3 linked regions of the Schizosaccharomyces pombe genome follow. The main gene of each other region encodes a partner of the protein of the gene in region 3 in a complex. Each region holds a gene or a part of one and is shown on either strand. Other genes may lie near its edges.

Region 1 (5,081 bases), on a different chromosome or scaffold from region 3:
ACTTTACGGCTAGACATTTCGATTTTAGGACTGCAATGCTTTTAATGAACAAGACATCGGGCTTCATAATACCGGTGCTTTCAACAGAAAACAAATAATGATCGCGTACGCGGCCTAATTGCACCTTATCTGCAAATTCGGGATGTCTCAAGCATTCGCGGGATACGGTGTCTTTTCGAACGTCTGCTACACGGGCTTGTTTTTTACCATCAGGTCCTTCTTCAAGCTCGATGACTCCTTTAGGGAAGCATTTTTGAAATTTAACTGCATCTTCACCTTCAATAGGAGACAAGATATGTATAGTAGGCAATAAGCGGTAGGAGGCAGTAGCAACAGGAGAAAACTTAGCATGGTCTTGTCCAATACCTAAGATTGCATGAGCTTCTAAATCGATTTCCTGGCCAGGACGCAATTTTGCAACAACAATATCTGGGTTGACTACTCGTATAGGATTGTCAGCAAATCGCTCTTCCTGTCGACCTTGCGGTTTCCAAATTAGATCACCCGAATAAACCTCAGAGTTAACGTAAAGTCTCTTTGGATCTTTTTCATCTGTAGCGGCATTCTTATTAAACTCGCATTTCTTATTAAGGGAAAAGACAACAGTATCGTAATCAGTATGAGTTGCCTCTTGTCCTGGCAGAGGATGTTGAAACCATTTAAACATGTCAGGATCAGCAGATATAGGTACAAGACCTATTCTGTGAGACAAAACCTCATCTTGTATTATGCTCGTATTGTTTATGATATACACGAACTCAAATGCAAGAGTTGGGATCTCGGCGATTAAAATCCTCCTAAATGCATTTGCAATGGATGCATCAATTCCAGAAATTTCAAATACCATTGTTTCTTGATCGAGAGACGTAATCGAAACTTTTAAATTTTTTTTAAATTTATCAAGATCCCAGATGTTGTCTTCATCAAAATAATAACCTGGAAAATCTACACTTCCTACATCTGTAACACGATCAGAAAGGACAGAGATTTCTGTCCTTGATCTGTCAACCGCTGCCATTTTTAATTTTATGAAAAAAACGGTGAGAAGTTGCAATATAAACTTTTAAAACCTTTATATGCGTAAAAATTCGCTATTGTGTGGTAAACACGATAGTGCGAATAAAAGTAAGACATTGCAAATTAACTGACAATAGTAGTAGAGCACTTGAAGAAGCGTAAATAGCATTTTTTTAGCGATTCAAGTTTGCCAAACATTCATTTTTTTTTTTTAGACTGTATTTATAACGCTAAATACGAAATGGACGACAAAGAATTGTTTGATCGGTCTATATTTGAAGAAACTAATCAGTTACATTTGTATGATCAATTGAATTATTTAAAAAAGAATGACCTGCAAAAGTTTAGGAAACTTTTAAATCAAGTTCAGCAATTGGACTTACGGTCATTGTGGTTGAAGTATCGAAATGCTAAAGCGACAAGCCAAGAGAACAGAAAATTGTCCCCTTCAGAAGTTGGTCCACTATCTATTGTAGATACGTCTGACTCAAGTTGGTGGAGAACAGGTCTTCGGGAAATTGCTAGAGGTCATGTAGCTGCCTTAGTATTGGCAGGAGGTCAAGGCACTCGACTTGGGTTTGCTGGTCCAAAAGGTTGCTTTAGACTTGGGCTGCCTAATAATCCGAGCATCTTTGAGCTGCAGGCACAAAAAATTAAGAAATCGTTGGCGCTCGCCAGAGCCGCATTTCCCGATCAAGAAGCCTCTATAAGCATTCCATGGTATATAATGGTTTCTGAATGTACGTCAGAGGAGACAATTTCTTTTTTTAAGGAGAATGATTTCTTTGGTATTGATAAGAAAGACGTTTTTTTCTTCCAGCAAGGAGTTTTACCTTGTCTAGATATCTCAGGTAGGGTCCTTTTTGAATCTGATTCTTCATTAGCTTGGGCTCCTAACGGCAATGGAGGTATTTATGAAGCTTTGCTTTCCTCTGGTGCATTGAATGATATGAATAGAAGAGGTATACTCCATATTACGGCTTATAGCGTTGACAATGTTCTTGTTTTGCCGGTTGATCCTGTATTCATAGGAATGGCTACTACTAAAAAACTTGAGGTTGCCACTAAAACTGTTGAAAAAATCGATCCTGCTGAAAAAGTGGGTCTCCTTGTATCTTCCCATAATCATCCTTGTGTTGTAGAGTACTCTGAAATTTCTGACGAAGCATGCAAAGCTACAGAAAATGTTGATGGTCACAAGCATTTGCTGCTTCGTGCGGCTAACATTGCATACCATTATTTCTCTTTTGATTTCTTACAGAAAGCTTCTTTGCACTCAAGTACCCTTCCTATTCACCTTGCATGCAAGAAAATTCCATTTTACGACGTAACGTCTCATCATTATACTACACCTTTAAATCCCAATGGATATAAACTTGAGAGTTTTATTTTCGATTTGTTTCCCAGTGTGTCAGTTGAAAATTTTGGATGTTTCCAGGTACCACGTAGGACTTCATTTAGTCCTCTAAAAAATTCAAGTAAATCTCCCAATGACAACCATGAAACTTGTGTAAACGATATTTTGAGTTTAGGTAAAAGCTGGATTTTAAAGAATGGTGGTATCTTAAGTCCAAGCGACTGCACCTATGTTTCCCCAGAATGTAGTTTACAAGGAGAATCACTCGAGTGGATTAAAGGGAAGCAGGTTAGCAATTGTAAACTTTACTAGTTTCCTCTCCTATATTCAACTATTTTTAAAGGTTTATATAAACAATGTAACAAAGTCAATGTGATAAATTTATTTACTTTCATTTTATATTGTACAATAATCGTCGAAGCACTAATTGCTGTTCTTAATCAGCAAATCAACATTCAGGATTTCAATTACGGTTTTACTTCGATTGTTAATATATTAATTTAATAAATTAATTGACCGTGCGTTTATTGAATTTATTAGTGACTGAAAATTTTCTAAATCATCTTCCACCTAATTCGCTTTCGTTCATTTTAAAATAACCCTGACTTTTAATATATCGTTGTTTAATCATGATGTTGCATTATTACTCCTTTCTTTTCAAGCTAAATACTCTCAAATTTTAGTATGCTTTTTACTAAATTACCTGACTAACGGAATAATGAGGTGTAACAACCATATCACTGCTAAAGCTCAAAAATTTAACGAACTACATTGCATCCTATGTCGAGCTCACTAGACATTGCCTTTATGCCGTTTAGCCTCGTCACTATATACATCTTCTTTGCATCTTTTTGTATCAACTAGATGATTCGTACTATTCAAAGGCAGAGCGCTACAAGGTTTTCTTCAGCTTTGGTTCAGAGGAGATTATACTCTTTGGCTTCTGATTCTCTCAATAAACAACGGAAACCACAAGAAGAAGGGCGCCTGGCACGAATTTTCAAAGATCCGTCTAACAAAGCTTGGAAGGATTTGACGGCTCCTCAAAAAGCATACAGAACTTCTGCTAATATTGGAAATTTTTCGATTGTGATATTTGGAGGCGGCGTTTTCGGATTGATTATATATGCACTTGTCACTAGTATCTGGAAGGGCGAGGCACATTACGGTGATGAAGCTTTTGAACTTTTAAAGGCTAATGAAGAATGTCGATATGTTTTTGGAGATCACATGAAAGCCCTAGGTGAAGCCACGCATCCTCTTCGTCGAACTCATGGTATATTGACTAGTCGTGTGTGGGATCACCATGGTGTAGAACATCTAGTACTACAATTTCACTTAATCGGTAATGAGAGAAAAGGGCACGTATTTGGAAGACTTGTAAATGTTCAAGGTGACTATAAATGGGAATATCTTTTCGTTGATGTTGCAAATTACGGAAAAATCATAATTTTTGATCATACCAATTCTGTACGACAACAACATAAGAATTTTGGTTTATGGGGAAGCTTAAAAAATATTACATGGGGAAATTAGAATTTCCGAATGATAAACGCACGACGGAAAGGTATAGCTGTTAATTTCAACCGAAAAGGAAATCATTGAATTATTTCTCGATTTTAATGGTTTGATTAATGGTTTTTCGCAGAGAATTAATTTTCTAATTTACGAATTAATTTACAGGCGATGTTAATGATTTTTATCAGAATTAGCACACTTAGTTATGCAGTATTTGGATGTATATTGCAAAAAATAAAAAAATCGTCGACACTTTATTACTAATTAAGCGATCGAACCTCATGATTTGTTGTTTAATTAGTTAGTATAAAGAAGCGAATTTGTACGAGGGGCCTTTTCGCAGGGGCTGATTAATCGCCAATCTAATGTACTACCTAAATGTGTTTAGTTATAAAAAATATAAGAATGATTCAAAGCACATGAAATAATTTTGATTATTAGATATAAAGTACAAGATGTAGGCCGGTATTTATAACCGAGTACACTAATCCATATCCAACTAGCAATTAATTATATATTAAATTTTTATAATGACAAAACGCAACGCATTCAAAAAAGATGAAAAAATCTGGTATATAATTTCCAAATAAACAAATTAAAAAAGAAGAAAAACAAGGATAAAATACTTAAGTTTCGACAAAATTAAGCAGCAGTCGAGTCTTCATTATCCGGCAAATTAAACAATCCAAACCATAAATCGTCACCAGTACTAGTATCTTTTAAAAATTTGTCGAAGTCAAAATCATTTAGAAGAGCCGCATCGATGTCTGTTGAATTTCCAACATCCAATAATTGATTGTCTGAAGATTTAGTGGCAACTGTGGTAGACTCCGTAGGTGCAGAAGGAGTCGCGGAAGTATCAGGATTTGATTTTCCTGACTGATTTTGATTATCCAACTCAGAATCGGATTTGTGAACATTTGCTCCTTGCGATGGTTCCAAAGCAGGACCTACACTTGTTGCTTCATTTGTTGATGATTCGGGGTTGGTAGTGTTGACGGTCGGTGCTGGAGTTGGAGCATTTGAATTAGCAGAAGAAGGCTTTTGTTTTGATCGAACGTCCAATGGAGAACTGGCATTTGGAGTGGGTCGCGATGAATGAGTTTGTTGTAATTGCCAATTCCCCATAACGTCCATTCCATTGTCCGCATTATTTGTGTCAGAGGTAGATGAGTTTTCAATCAGATTA
Region 2 (5,350 bases), on a different chromosome or scaffold from region 3:
CTAAGGAGGAATAAGTAGTAAACTGGGTAGGAAAAGAGCTACTGGACAATTGGATTTTTTTTTTTTTTTGAAGAGTTCTTCTAGATTTATTTTCTACATCCCGATATTTGGCAACCGACTTAGAATGGCATGACTGGGATTGTGTGCTTGGAAGCCGTACTTTGGTAATTTGTGACGGTCATTAAATTTGAGAAGCAAAGCAGACTTTACATTAATGTGTCCAGTTGCAACAATAATTCATAGAACTAATAAGAACAACAATGATAATGAAGATCAATAAGGTTAGCCGGGTTATTTTCATGTGTTTACTATATTCATGACATGTCCAGTAGTAAGAACTTTATAATTTTGGTTCATGTTTGACGATGTCGAATTGAGGAACTTTAAATTTTTCATTCATTACCAAGTCAAACGTAAGTAGTTTCCTTCTCGACTCGAGTAGATAGAGTTGCTGCTTAACAATAAAACGTAATCTAGCACAATAAACCCCTCTCAAACTTTCAATAAAGTCTTTTATCTTTTCCTTATTTTCCTTAATTTGATACAGTGAGCGACAACATTGGACACCTTTTGTTTACAAGGAAAAGGGTCAGATTCAGGCCGTAAGAAACTCTGCCGCAATGTCAATTACAGCTCCCTTTTGAATCATTCAGCTTTTCTCGGCTAATAATTTTATTCTAGGATCATGTTTGAAAGATTCCATTTACTTACTTATTCTTATAATTTGGGATGTTCTTATCATTTTGGCATACCAGTGAACATGCAAAGAAAGCACAGCAAAAAAGTTTGTGCTGCATAAAATCTCGTTGAAATGTTTTACAGGAGTATAGCGCGTTATTAAAAAACCTAGGGCGATTACTTTTCAATACGTTAAACTAATAACGAAAGATAACCTTCACATCGCTCTACGAATTAGTAAAATAGCAATGCACAACGCGATAAAAAACGATTTGAATGGAATGAAAGGGGTGAGGCTATAAAAAGCATTCTATAGTTGTCAATCAATTTTTTTGCAATCGAGTTCTAGAGATTTTTTGGATTCGTATATCCATGTTAACCAATTCAAAGTGTGAACGCCAACGATGCCACTATAATTTCAACCTTTTTGGGTAGCATGTAACCTAGTGATATACCATTGGGCTTCTTTATACAGGTAGTTAGAATTAACTAGTTTCTTCATAAATTTCGCCATTTCGAGCCATTTCCTTTTGTATTTATTTCTCGTGGATTTTTGTTCGTCTTTTTTTTTGTTAATTTTATCTTTTGGAAGCACCAACAGTATTGGTGGTTGGGTTGTTGTGTTATCGTAGAGTACACCCAGTTTGTGTAAATATAAACGTTTGACATTATAAAACCGAGAGGATTTATGTAATGGCGAAAAAATATCAGGATCTAGCTAGTGGAATCGCCATGGGTGCAGTTTTCATGTACCTTTTACGTCGTTTGTACGAGTCTCTTCGCGTCAAATCGTCAGCCGATTCGTTGGAAGAAGACATCGTAAATGGAGTAGAAGGACTAATTGGAAATACTAAAATGGTCAGGATAAAATCTCTTTCGCAAGCGACGGGCTGCGATATCCTCGCCAAAGCGGAATTTCTGAACCCTGGAAATTCTCCTAAAGATCGTGTTGCTTTGCAGATGATTCGCACAGCAGAAGAAAATGGAGATTTAGTACCTTATCAATCGAATGCTGTTTATGAAGGAACCGCCGGTTCTACTGGTATTTCGATAGCTATGCTCTGTTGTTCACTTGGCTATGACTCTCGTATATATATGCCTAGTGACCAATCTAAAGAAAAAAGTGACATACTTGAATTGTTGGGTGCTCATGTTCAAAGAGTAACTCCAGCTCCCATCGTCGATCCAAATCATTTTGTAAATACGGCTCGTCGTAATGCTGCCAATCATACCGTCGACGAGTCCATTCCTGGCAAAGGATACTTTGCTAATCAATTTGAGAATCCGGCGAATTGGCAAGCTCATTTCAATTCTACCGGTCCTGAAATATGGCGTCAATGTGCTGGAAAATTAGATGCATTTATTGCCGGTTCTGGTACGGGTGGCACTATCGCTGGTATTTCTCGCTACCTAAAGTCCAAAGATCCTTCCATCACCGTCTGTCTTGCTGATCCTCCCGGAAGTGGCCTATATCATAAAGTTCTTCACGGTGTGATGTTTGATTTGGCTGAACGAGAAGGAACTCGTCGGCGACATCAGGTTGATACCATCGTTGAAGGAGTGGGTATTAATCGAATGACACGCAACTTTTCTATCGCTGAACCCCTTATTGATATGGCTTACAGAGTAACTGATGAGCAGGCCGTAGCTATGTCTCGATACTTAGTCACCCATGATGGTTTATTTGTCGGCAGTTCTTCTGCTGTTAATTGCGTCGCTGCTGTCCGTCTTGCTAAAAAGTTGGGCCCTGGTCATCGAATTGTTACTCTTCTTTGCGATCCTGGATCTCGCCATTTTTCAAAACTGTATAACGAAGAGTTCTTGCGAAAAAAAAACATTGTTCCACAAGTTCCTTCTTCCTTAGATTTTGTTGAAGCTTAGGTTGTTCCTCTGGTAGTTTCGATAAACTACGTTTTTTTAATTTAATCGATAGTTCTGTTTTCTTTGTTTGTGTTAACGTGAATGTATGCCCTAATATTATGTTTGTTTTCCTAATGTTAGTAGAATTTATTTTCATTCGTAGTTGAACAAATACTTTTTGCTATTAAAAAAAAAAAAAATTTGATTATCCCCAATTACCAAAAAAACTGAAATTTCTTAGTATATCGACTTTTAAAGCATAATAAATCGCTCTGTCTAATATCGAAAATATCATATAGCACATACTTTTCAATTGTTTTCGTAGTTGTAAAGGTATTGTTACACTTTCAGAAAGAAACATGTGGACAACTAAAATGCCTTCATAAATTTGTTTTAAATTTCACAATTTATATAGCACAGAAAACAAGCTTCATCCAACTGTCCGCTAAGCTGAACTATTCAATTTTCAAATGACAATTTGTATTACGTTGAGCTACGCTATGTATTGTAAGCTCCGCTTTACGATGCTGAATTCTGTTTGCGGAATCGTCAGCACTCGTTAAACAGGGAGTAAGAGGGAGTAATAGAGTTGCCTGCAAGAGTAAACCTAGTTCAAACCTGCGAAATTTGACGTGCAGTCAGTAGACGACGACCTGGCTGTAAACTAGCATTTTTTACGATTAATTAGAAAGGTTATTTGCTTTTTGATTAAATACGGAGAGTTTGGATAACACAAGGGATCGAAACATTTCAGAAAATAGAAAAAAATGGCTAGCGCGGATCATACCAGGGATCCTTGTCCTTATGTGATTTTGAATGATTTCGGTGCTGCTTTTTCCATGGGTACTATAGGTGGTGCCATTTGGCATTCCATCAAAGGATGGAGGAACAGTCCACCGGTAAGTTAAATCAAGTAGTGCAAAGTTGAATGCGCAATAGAATGAAGGCATTTGCTAATGAAATTATTAATTAGGGAGAAAAACGAATTTCTGCTATTGCAGCTGCTAAAACTAGAGCTCCCGTTTTGGGAGGTAACTTTGGTGTTTGGGGTGGTTTGTTTAGTACATTTGATTGTGCCGTCAAAGGTGTTCGTCGCAAAGAAGACCCATGGAACGCTATTATTGCAGGCTTTTTTACCGGTGGTGCTTTAGCAGTTCGTGGCGGTTGGAGGGCTACTCGTAACGGTGCAATTGGATGCGCTTGTATTCTGGCTGTTTTTGAGGGTTTGGGTATTGCTTTGGGCCGTATGAATGCGGAATATAATCGTCCTGTCGCTCCAGTTATACCTGATGCCCCGGCTTCCGGTTCCACTTCTGCAGCTCCTGCTGCAGTTTAAAAATGATTGGTACTTGTAAATTATTTTAATTGTGCGATAAAACGAAGTATTAATAATTTTTAATGCTTACAATCAACGTATTGTATCCAAAAATTCCTTGTCATCTGTCATATTCACTATTTCCTTGTTTTCCAATTTTTTTGAAAATATCTTTCGTTTTCCGGTTCCTTTATACTAAGTTAGCTCTATATAAACTTGGCGGATTATTGAAATTTCGACATTTAAGCCTTTTCCGGAACTTACTGAATCTAATCTCCATCTTTTTTACATAAATCATTTTTTGGAAATAGTTTTTGACAGCATACGTATCCTGTTCAATTTTTTCATGAACTTCCATTAATACGCTTAAGGGTTGTGAATTTGTTCATTTTAGGGCTTTAATCTCGTAGGCTGATCGTTATTTCTTTTTCTTTGTTAAAGTAATGATTTGGTTTTGTAACGTTATTACCAGTAGTTTACAATCCATGCAAATACAATAAAAGAATACCTTTCTGCGTTTTCTCGTATCCTAGAATCTGATACTCCACTGACTCAAACCGTTACTGCAATTCTTTGAATCGGCATCGTGTTTGCTTTTTATTAGACTGCTTGATGAAATAGATCAATTAATCGACTGCCTAATATTGCTCAATGCACCAAAGCTTGTAAATTAAAATGTAAGAGTTTCGATAGGCTTCTAAAGAATGTGCTTTTTCTAACTATATTGTTTTTTCGCTTTATTTAGAACAAATTCAATTAGACAAAATTGCTTAAATTAGCATAGAAGACAATAGTACTCAGAAGCTAGCAGTAGCTCAAAAATATATTTTCCATTATCGAAACAAGCACTATGCAATTTACTTACACGTAGTTGCAGTACCCTGCAAGTAAACTGTAAATGAGAATAACTTCCATATGTATGAGATGGTATTATGATTGCAATTGAAATTCATACTCTTAAATTACAGAAACTTGTATTCTTGTTTACTAACGCTAAATTAAGGGAGTAAACAAACTCCTTACTTAATAAGCATAAATTAGATCATTAATGAAATACTTTAGTCCCATTAAATTAAGTTATGAAAAGACCTCCAAATATCCCACAAAATTACTAAAACTATAGAAATACCATCATATTACTCATATTATTTTTAATTTCATTGTATAAGTTTAAAAATTATTATAATTAAAGTGGCCGTTTGGTCTAGTGGTATGATACCATCTTAGGGTGATGGTGGTCGTGGGTTCGATTCCCACAACAGCCCATTTTTGCTTTTTGCTATTTGCCTATTTTGAAGGAATCAAATACTATTGCTAGCCTAGGTATTGAGTTATTCATTTTATGTATATTTAGCACTCTTGAGTCCTAGAAGATAGGAGTCTAACATGTAGAAGTAGATTAATATTCACTATAATAACAAAAACTAGACATTGTAATGAATTATTTTGAGAATTACTTACATTTAAGTTTATAATAAAATCTAAAAAAACTAAAAC
Region 3 (5,461 bases):
TAAATCGATTCAGCGGCCACGGTGGAGATTTGCGGAGAAGACGTAAACGAAGGGATTTAGTAGTTTATCCAGTATTTGATCTCAATTTGAAGCAATTTTTGAGTCCATTTATAAAAGATCATGAGTGGCTATCGTCACAGAAATCGATGCTTTACGATTTGTATGCAGTGGACAATCATCACGGGTTTATGAGTAATGGTCATTATACTGCCTATGCAAGAGATGCATCGAGCCAAACATTCTTTAAGTTTGATGATACAGCTATTTGTGAAATAGATCCGGAGGATATTGTCACATCGTCTGCTTATGTATTGTTTTACAGAGCAAAGAATTAAAGAGACGTATAATAGAGGTGATATGAACTTTACTCTAACTAAAGGCTAATGTCGTTTGTTTGAATATGTATGAAACTGGAAATTGAATATGAACGAAGACGAGGAAGAGGTGGGAGTTTTTGCAATAAAAAAGTAATAAAATAAGCTATTAAAATAATCCATTACATTTATTATTCATAGAGCATTAAAATTATGAAAAAAAAAGTAGTAAACTTTTGCAACCAGACGTTTTTAAAAGCCAGTGGGATTAACACGATTAGTACTACGGGTCCATTTTGGTGATTTATGGACACCCTTGCGGAAGCCTTGGAGACCGGCACCTTGAGTCTTCCTGGTAAACATAGTGTATTTATCCTTTGGTGACATTTGGGATTCAGGCTGATGGTTAGCAACGAAACTTTCAATTCGTTTGCACGATTGATTTTTCTCTTGCAACGCCGTGCGCAAAACATCTACCACCTCATCGACGGCACGAAGTCGTTGACGGTGACGATATTTTCTTCGCTGGGATAATCTCCAAGGTACTTTATGAACAAGACCGCCAAAGCGAGCCAAAGTCGAGTTAAATGCACCCAGCATATTTTTCGTATAAAATCAAAAGGAGAGGAAGAAGGTTGGATCAAAAAGAGCAAATAAAAATTTTTTGTTAAGTTTTTGGGTGATAGACAAATTCTGAGTAGTTGATGGTTTGTCACAAAGTAGTTTACGGCTCCAACGAAACAGCAAAGATGTGAACAAAAATTAACTTGATTAGCGTCCTAAATTGATTTAAATATTATATTGCCATTCAAATATAAACACTACACCTCCAAAATGGTGGAGTTGGTTAACTGAAGAATGATATAGGTTTTGGGTAAGTTCATATCCTTGGGTGTACCTTCCAACTCGAATCCACGTGACCACCTGCCAGTAAGAATCGGCTCATTTCTACTTCCCACCTGCTAGATAAATCGCGATAGGGCATTTGCAACCAACATCTCGAGAGTAATTAGCTCCTGGGTTATAACCGTTAAATACCACCTTTAAGGAAGAATAAGCAGAACTTGATCATGGCAGAGAAGACAATTACTGTTGAAGAAGTGTTAAAACATAACACTCGTGATGATTTGTACATTGTTGTAAAAGACAAGGTGTATGATATTTCCAAGTTCCTTGACGCTCACCCTGGTGGTGAAGAGGTTCTTGTTGATTTGGCCGGTAAGTAAATTTTTAGGGGTACGCGATAATGGAGGTCTTGAGGAAGATTGGTTGTAATGCATAAAAATTGGTCGCGATTGTGTGGAGTCGTAGAAATCGAAGTTTCAGACAACTAGCGTTACAAAACTTTGAATTTCACGAGAGTTTAGGTGTCGCATATACACATGTTCTTTAATTTGAAAGATTCAGGACGAATCTTTGCCGTAGGAACGTACAAAAATAGATGCGATATCCTGAATAAATACGATGTTTAATGCGACATTGTCATTGAAGGTGAATTGTTAAGTACAGTCTATATGTTCCAAGATTGATCGCTCTCTACTCGATGTTTTGTATTTCCAGTACTCTGAATACACTGAAATACATAATTTTGGAAAGATTGATTGACGATATCGCTTCGATTCTTCACATACGGCTTTTGGATTGGCTATACAAAGTTTCTGCCTTTCTCTACCATCGCTAGGGGCTTTTTTTTGTTCGTTTCTGTGATTATTAACTTGTTTTAGGTCGTGATGCTAGCGGTCCTTTCGAGGATGTTGGTCACTCTGAGGATGCTCAGGAGTTGCTCGAAAAATTTTACATTGGAAACTTGCTCAGAGTATGTCATTTATTTTTTCTCTTCGTTCGCCATAGGCTCGTTAAAATTTTTGTAAAAATTTGCTTCGACACTCTAACATATTTTAGACTGAAGATGGCCCTCAGCTTCCCACAACTGGTGCTGCCGCTGGTGGAAGTGGATATGATTCTTCTCAACCAGTTAAGCCTGCTATGTGGCTCTTTGTCCTTGTGATGGTTGTTGCTTACTTTGCTTTTCGCAAGTATGTCCTCAAATAGACTGCTTAAATTCCCAGTCTTACTTTTGCGCTCAAAGAAATTTAAAGGCCTTCTTTCGTTTTGGGTCGTTTAAATGTGCTGAATATGGTTTTGTGATTTTGAGCTAGCAAGTTTCGTTTTTTGTTGTTGTTAGATATCTACTTTAGCTTTCTTTACCTGTTCGTACTTAGGATATTTACGGATTCAATGTATTCCTTTAACACGCTTTGGTTTGGCTCTTAATGTGAATGGCATATTAATATTAATAGAGACCTTTGATTTGTCTGGACGTAAATTTAATTCACAACGGTCTTATGCTTGCTTTGCGTAACTGTATAATTGATAATACTTAGTGTTATATTTTTTGTATTTTCGTTGTTTGTTCTCTCATAAAAAAAAGTTTTATAGTTTCTTCTATTCTATTGTTTTATCGATGGACCTATGCCCAACTTGTCTAGAATTTTAAGCGGTGATCGAGTAAATAAGTTCGGGCGTTATTTAACGATCGAGGATTTATTCATTAAGTCTTTTTTTTTATATATAAATGTAAATTCATGATAATTGCGACACTTTTTACGTCTCAACAATTTTTTTCTACTATTTTAATTTAGGTGCTAATACACAGTTCCTGTAACCACCGCTACCTGCAGACAACCACCATCGCGCCTTTGCGAAAAATCAACTTTTTAAGATATGTCTTGGTTGTTTACAAGAAATAAAGAAGAGGAACCAACCTCAAAGATTGATTCTTCTGAATTGCAGGTCCCTACCGAGGCTACAGCCTCAGATATTTTATCGGGTTCTGAATTCGATCCCGCCAAGTTACATCCCCTCGCTGATTTAGATAAACCTCTGGATTACTTATTGATTGAGGAAGATGCTCTTTCTACTCTTCCAGGCGATAGCATGGCTATCCCATCTCGCGGATGGCAAGATGATCTTTGTTACGGTACTGGAACTTCTTATTTAAGTGGATTGGCGATTGGTGGACTCTGGGGTCTCAATGAAGGCATGAAGAAAACTAAAGATATTACTTCCACACGGTTGCGCCTTAATGGTATTTTGAACGGTGTTACACGACGTGGTCCTTTCGTTGGTAATTCCTTGGGTGTGCTTGCCCTCGTGTATAATGGAATCAATTCTTTAATAGGCTACAAGCGCCAAAAGCATGGATGGGAAAATAGTGTTGCAGCTGGTGCATTGACAGGTGCTCTTTACAAATCTACTCGTGGACTTCGTGCTATGGCTATTAGTAGTTCGCTTGTAGCCACTGCAGCTGGCATTTGGACCCTTGCAAAGCGTTCTTTCACTAAGCGACTTAATTAAAAAATTCTTTTGTAACTTTTGGTTATAAAATTTGTACGATAATGTGAGTTAGGTGTTCCTTTTATGACACTCATTTTCTCTCACTCTTGTGCGGACCCTTTTTTCCCTAATTTGTAAATCCGACAATGGATTTATGTCTTTTGGTTTTATTCATCTCATTTATGTCGTTTGATTTTCCTAAAAATTCAATTCTATCAACACCCTTCTGTCAAAAAGAATTGACTGCGTTTCTTTTTCCTCGCATTTGTAATATCTCTGAATCCTTGATCCTACCTCCTTTTCGCAAAGGGAAGGAATAAAACTACTGAACAAACATACGGGTTCTTACATTTTGTTTTGTTGGAATCCTTTTATTTGAACAGTACATTCATATTTTGACATAAATATCACTTTTTTGTATCATTTTTATCCCACAGCTTTTTATTACATTGTATTTTTGTACGTGATCAATATGGAAAGAAGGTTAAAGTTCTTGTTAAGTAATTGTTTATTCAAGTAATTCGTAAAATGGCTCTATTCGAGCACACTTTAACTAACAAAAAAAGAGAAAAAGGGTAGAGAGAAAAATGAAAGGATTTAAACGATTTGTCGGTACATATTGATAAAAAGGTAAGAGGAGGAACAATGAATATTCACAAAGAAGAACAGCTTTCATTGTATGCTTTAGTATTATTAATATTTCTAAATCTATAATAGCATTAAATAAATTTTTCATTAATAAAATGTACTCGACCTTAAAAATTTATCCAAGCGATAGATCTTCCAAGGGAAATATGACTTTCATAGTTAAGGCTTGTCATGTGGTATTATTAGTCATTAACAAAATCGTAAAAAAGAAACATAAAAAAGGATGTATGCAGAAATTAAAATAAAATACAAAGTATGTAAGACTCGGAATGCAATTATAAGCAAACCTACCCAACGTACTTATATGTCCTTCGATAAATTTTCGAGTTCTTCACGAGTTCGCAACCATCGTTGTAAATTTGTTTGTGCCCATTTGTAGATACATTCATGAACAGATTTAATTATTTCTTCCCACTGCGACGTCTGACATTCTTTGTAGAATTTAAGCTCTGCATCCATGAATTCGTCAATTTTTTGACAATCCCAATTTGCAGCCGCTAGTTGATTCTCTATGGTATTCTTATGCTGCTGGAGACTTTCTTTGCTAATGGAGGTTTCACCTTCTACAAAGTCATGTAAAACGTTTTGTAAGCGACCAAAAATTGTGTAACCCTTTTTGGCTTGGGAGACAACTGCTCGTTGAATAGTATTCAATCTGGTCGCCGGGTGTATCGTGGGTGAAGCAGCTACCATAGAGTCGGTAGCAGACATTGTGTTAGAGTGGATGAGCTGGTCTTGAAGAAAATCTCGCTGTTGTATCTTCAATTGCTTATACTTAAGAGCATCTGCGGCACACTTCGCCAGCTGCATAGACTGAACCATTTTTTCATAGACGGAGGAATTAAATTCTTGTTCGAATTCCTTGGCGTACATTCCGCTGAATTCAAAGGCATTAGCAATCACTTGCAAATGATTTGCTAATTGTATTTCATTGAGAGCAGTCAAAGAGTGAAATGCCGATCCTAACTTTGAAAGGCAAGACTCCATTTTAGAAATACTAGATAAAGTTGAATGTATGGAAGGACTCAGACTATGATGAAGGAATTTCCGACAAACAATCACTTCTTGAGTATAGGAAGTCAAATCTTTGAGTACTGGAGAGGGTGCGTCTTTACCATTAGAAATGCTGGAACGACGCTGTGTGGGAGATAACTCCGAAGGTG

Evidence for each region.
Region 1: tim23 (region 3) and tim21 share a complex: the UniProt entries of both Schizosaccharomyces pombe proteins name them as parts of the TIM23 complex.
Region 2: tim23 (region 3) and tim17 share a complex: the UniProt entries of both Schizosaccharomyces pombe proteins name them as parts of the TIM23 complex.

Annotation. Positions count from the first base shown.
Region 1 is NC_003423.3:4,396,082-4,401,162, forward strand, and holds tim21 (TIM23 translocase complex subunit Tim21), read left to right. Parts: upstream 1-3,217; 5' UTR 3,218-3,238; coding exon 3,239-3,910; 3' UTR 3,911-4,320; downstream 4,321-5,081. Other genes in the region: DNA-directed RNA polymerase I and III subunit Rpc40, read right to left, coding at 1-1,018; uap1 (UDP-N-acetylglucosamine diphosphorylase Uap1/Qri1(predicted)), read left to right, coding at 1,259-2,686; adn2 (transcription factor), read right to left, coding at 4,535-5,081. UniProt on the Schizosaccharomyces pombe protein: Essential component of the TIM23 complex, a complex that mediates the translocation of transit peptide-containing proteins across the mitochondrial inner membrane. Required to keep the TOM and the TIM23 complexes in close contact.
Region 2 is NC_003424.3:1,449,166-1,454,515, reverse strand, and holds tim17 (TIM23 translocase complex subunit Tim17), read left to right. Parts: upstream 1-3,141; 5' UTR 3,142-3,305; coding exon 3,306-3,437; intron 3,438-3,511; coding exon 3,512-3,874; 3' UTR 3,875-4,589; downstream 4,590-5,350. Other genes in the region: cysteine synthase-like protein Cys12, read left to right, coding at 1,372-2,559. UniProt on the Schizosaccharomyces pombe protein: Essential component of the TIM23 complex, a complex that mediates the translocation of transit peptide-containing proteins across the mitochondrial inner membrane.
Region 3 is NC_003421.2:884,311-889,771, reverse strand, and holds tim23 (TIM23 translocase complex subunit Tim23), read left to right. Parts: upstream 1-2,991; 5' UTR 2,992-3,038; coding exon 3,039-3,671; 3' UTR 3,672-4,086; downstream 4,087-5,461. Other genes in the region: ubiquitin hydrolase Ubp1, read left to right, coding at 1-335; mrpl31 (mitochondrial 54S ribosomal protein mL60), read right to left, coding at 567-914; oca8 (cytochrome b5), read left to right, coding at 1,385-1,532, 2,039-2,130, 2,217-2,366; sorting nexin Atg20, read right to left, coding at 4,599-5,461. UniProt on the Schizosaccharomyces pombe protein: Essential component of the TIM23 complex, a complex that mediates the translocation of transit peptide-containing proteins across the mitochondrial inner membrane.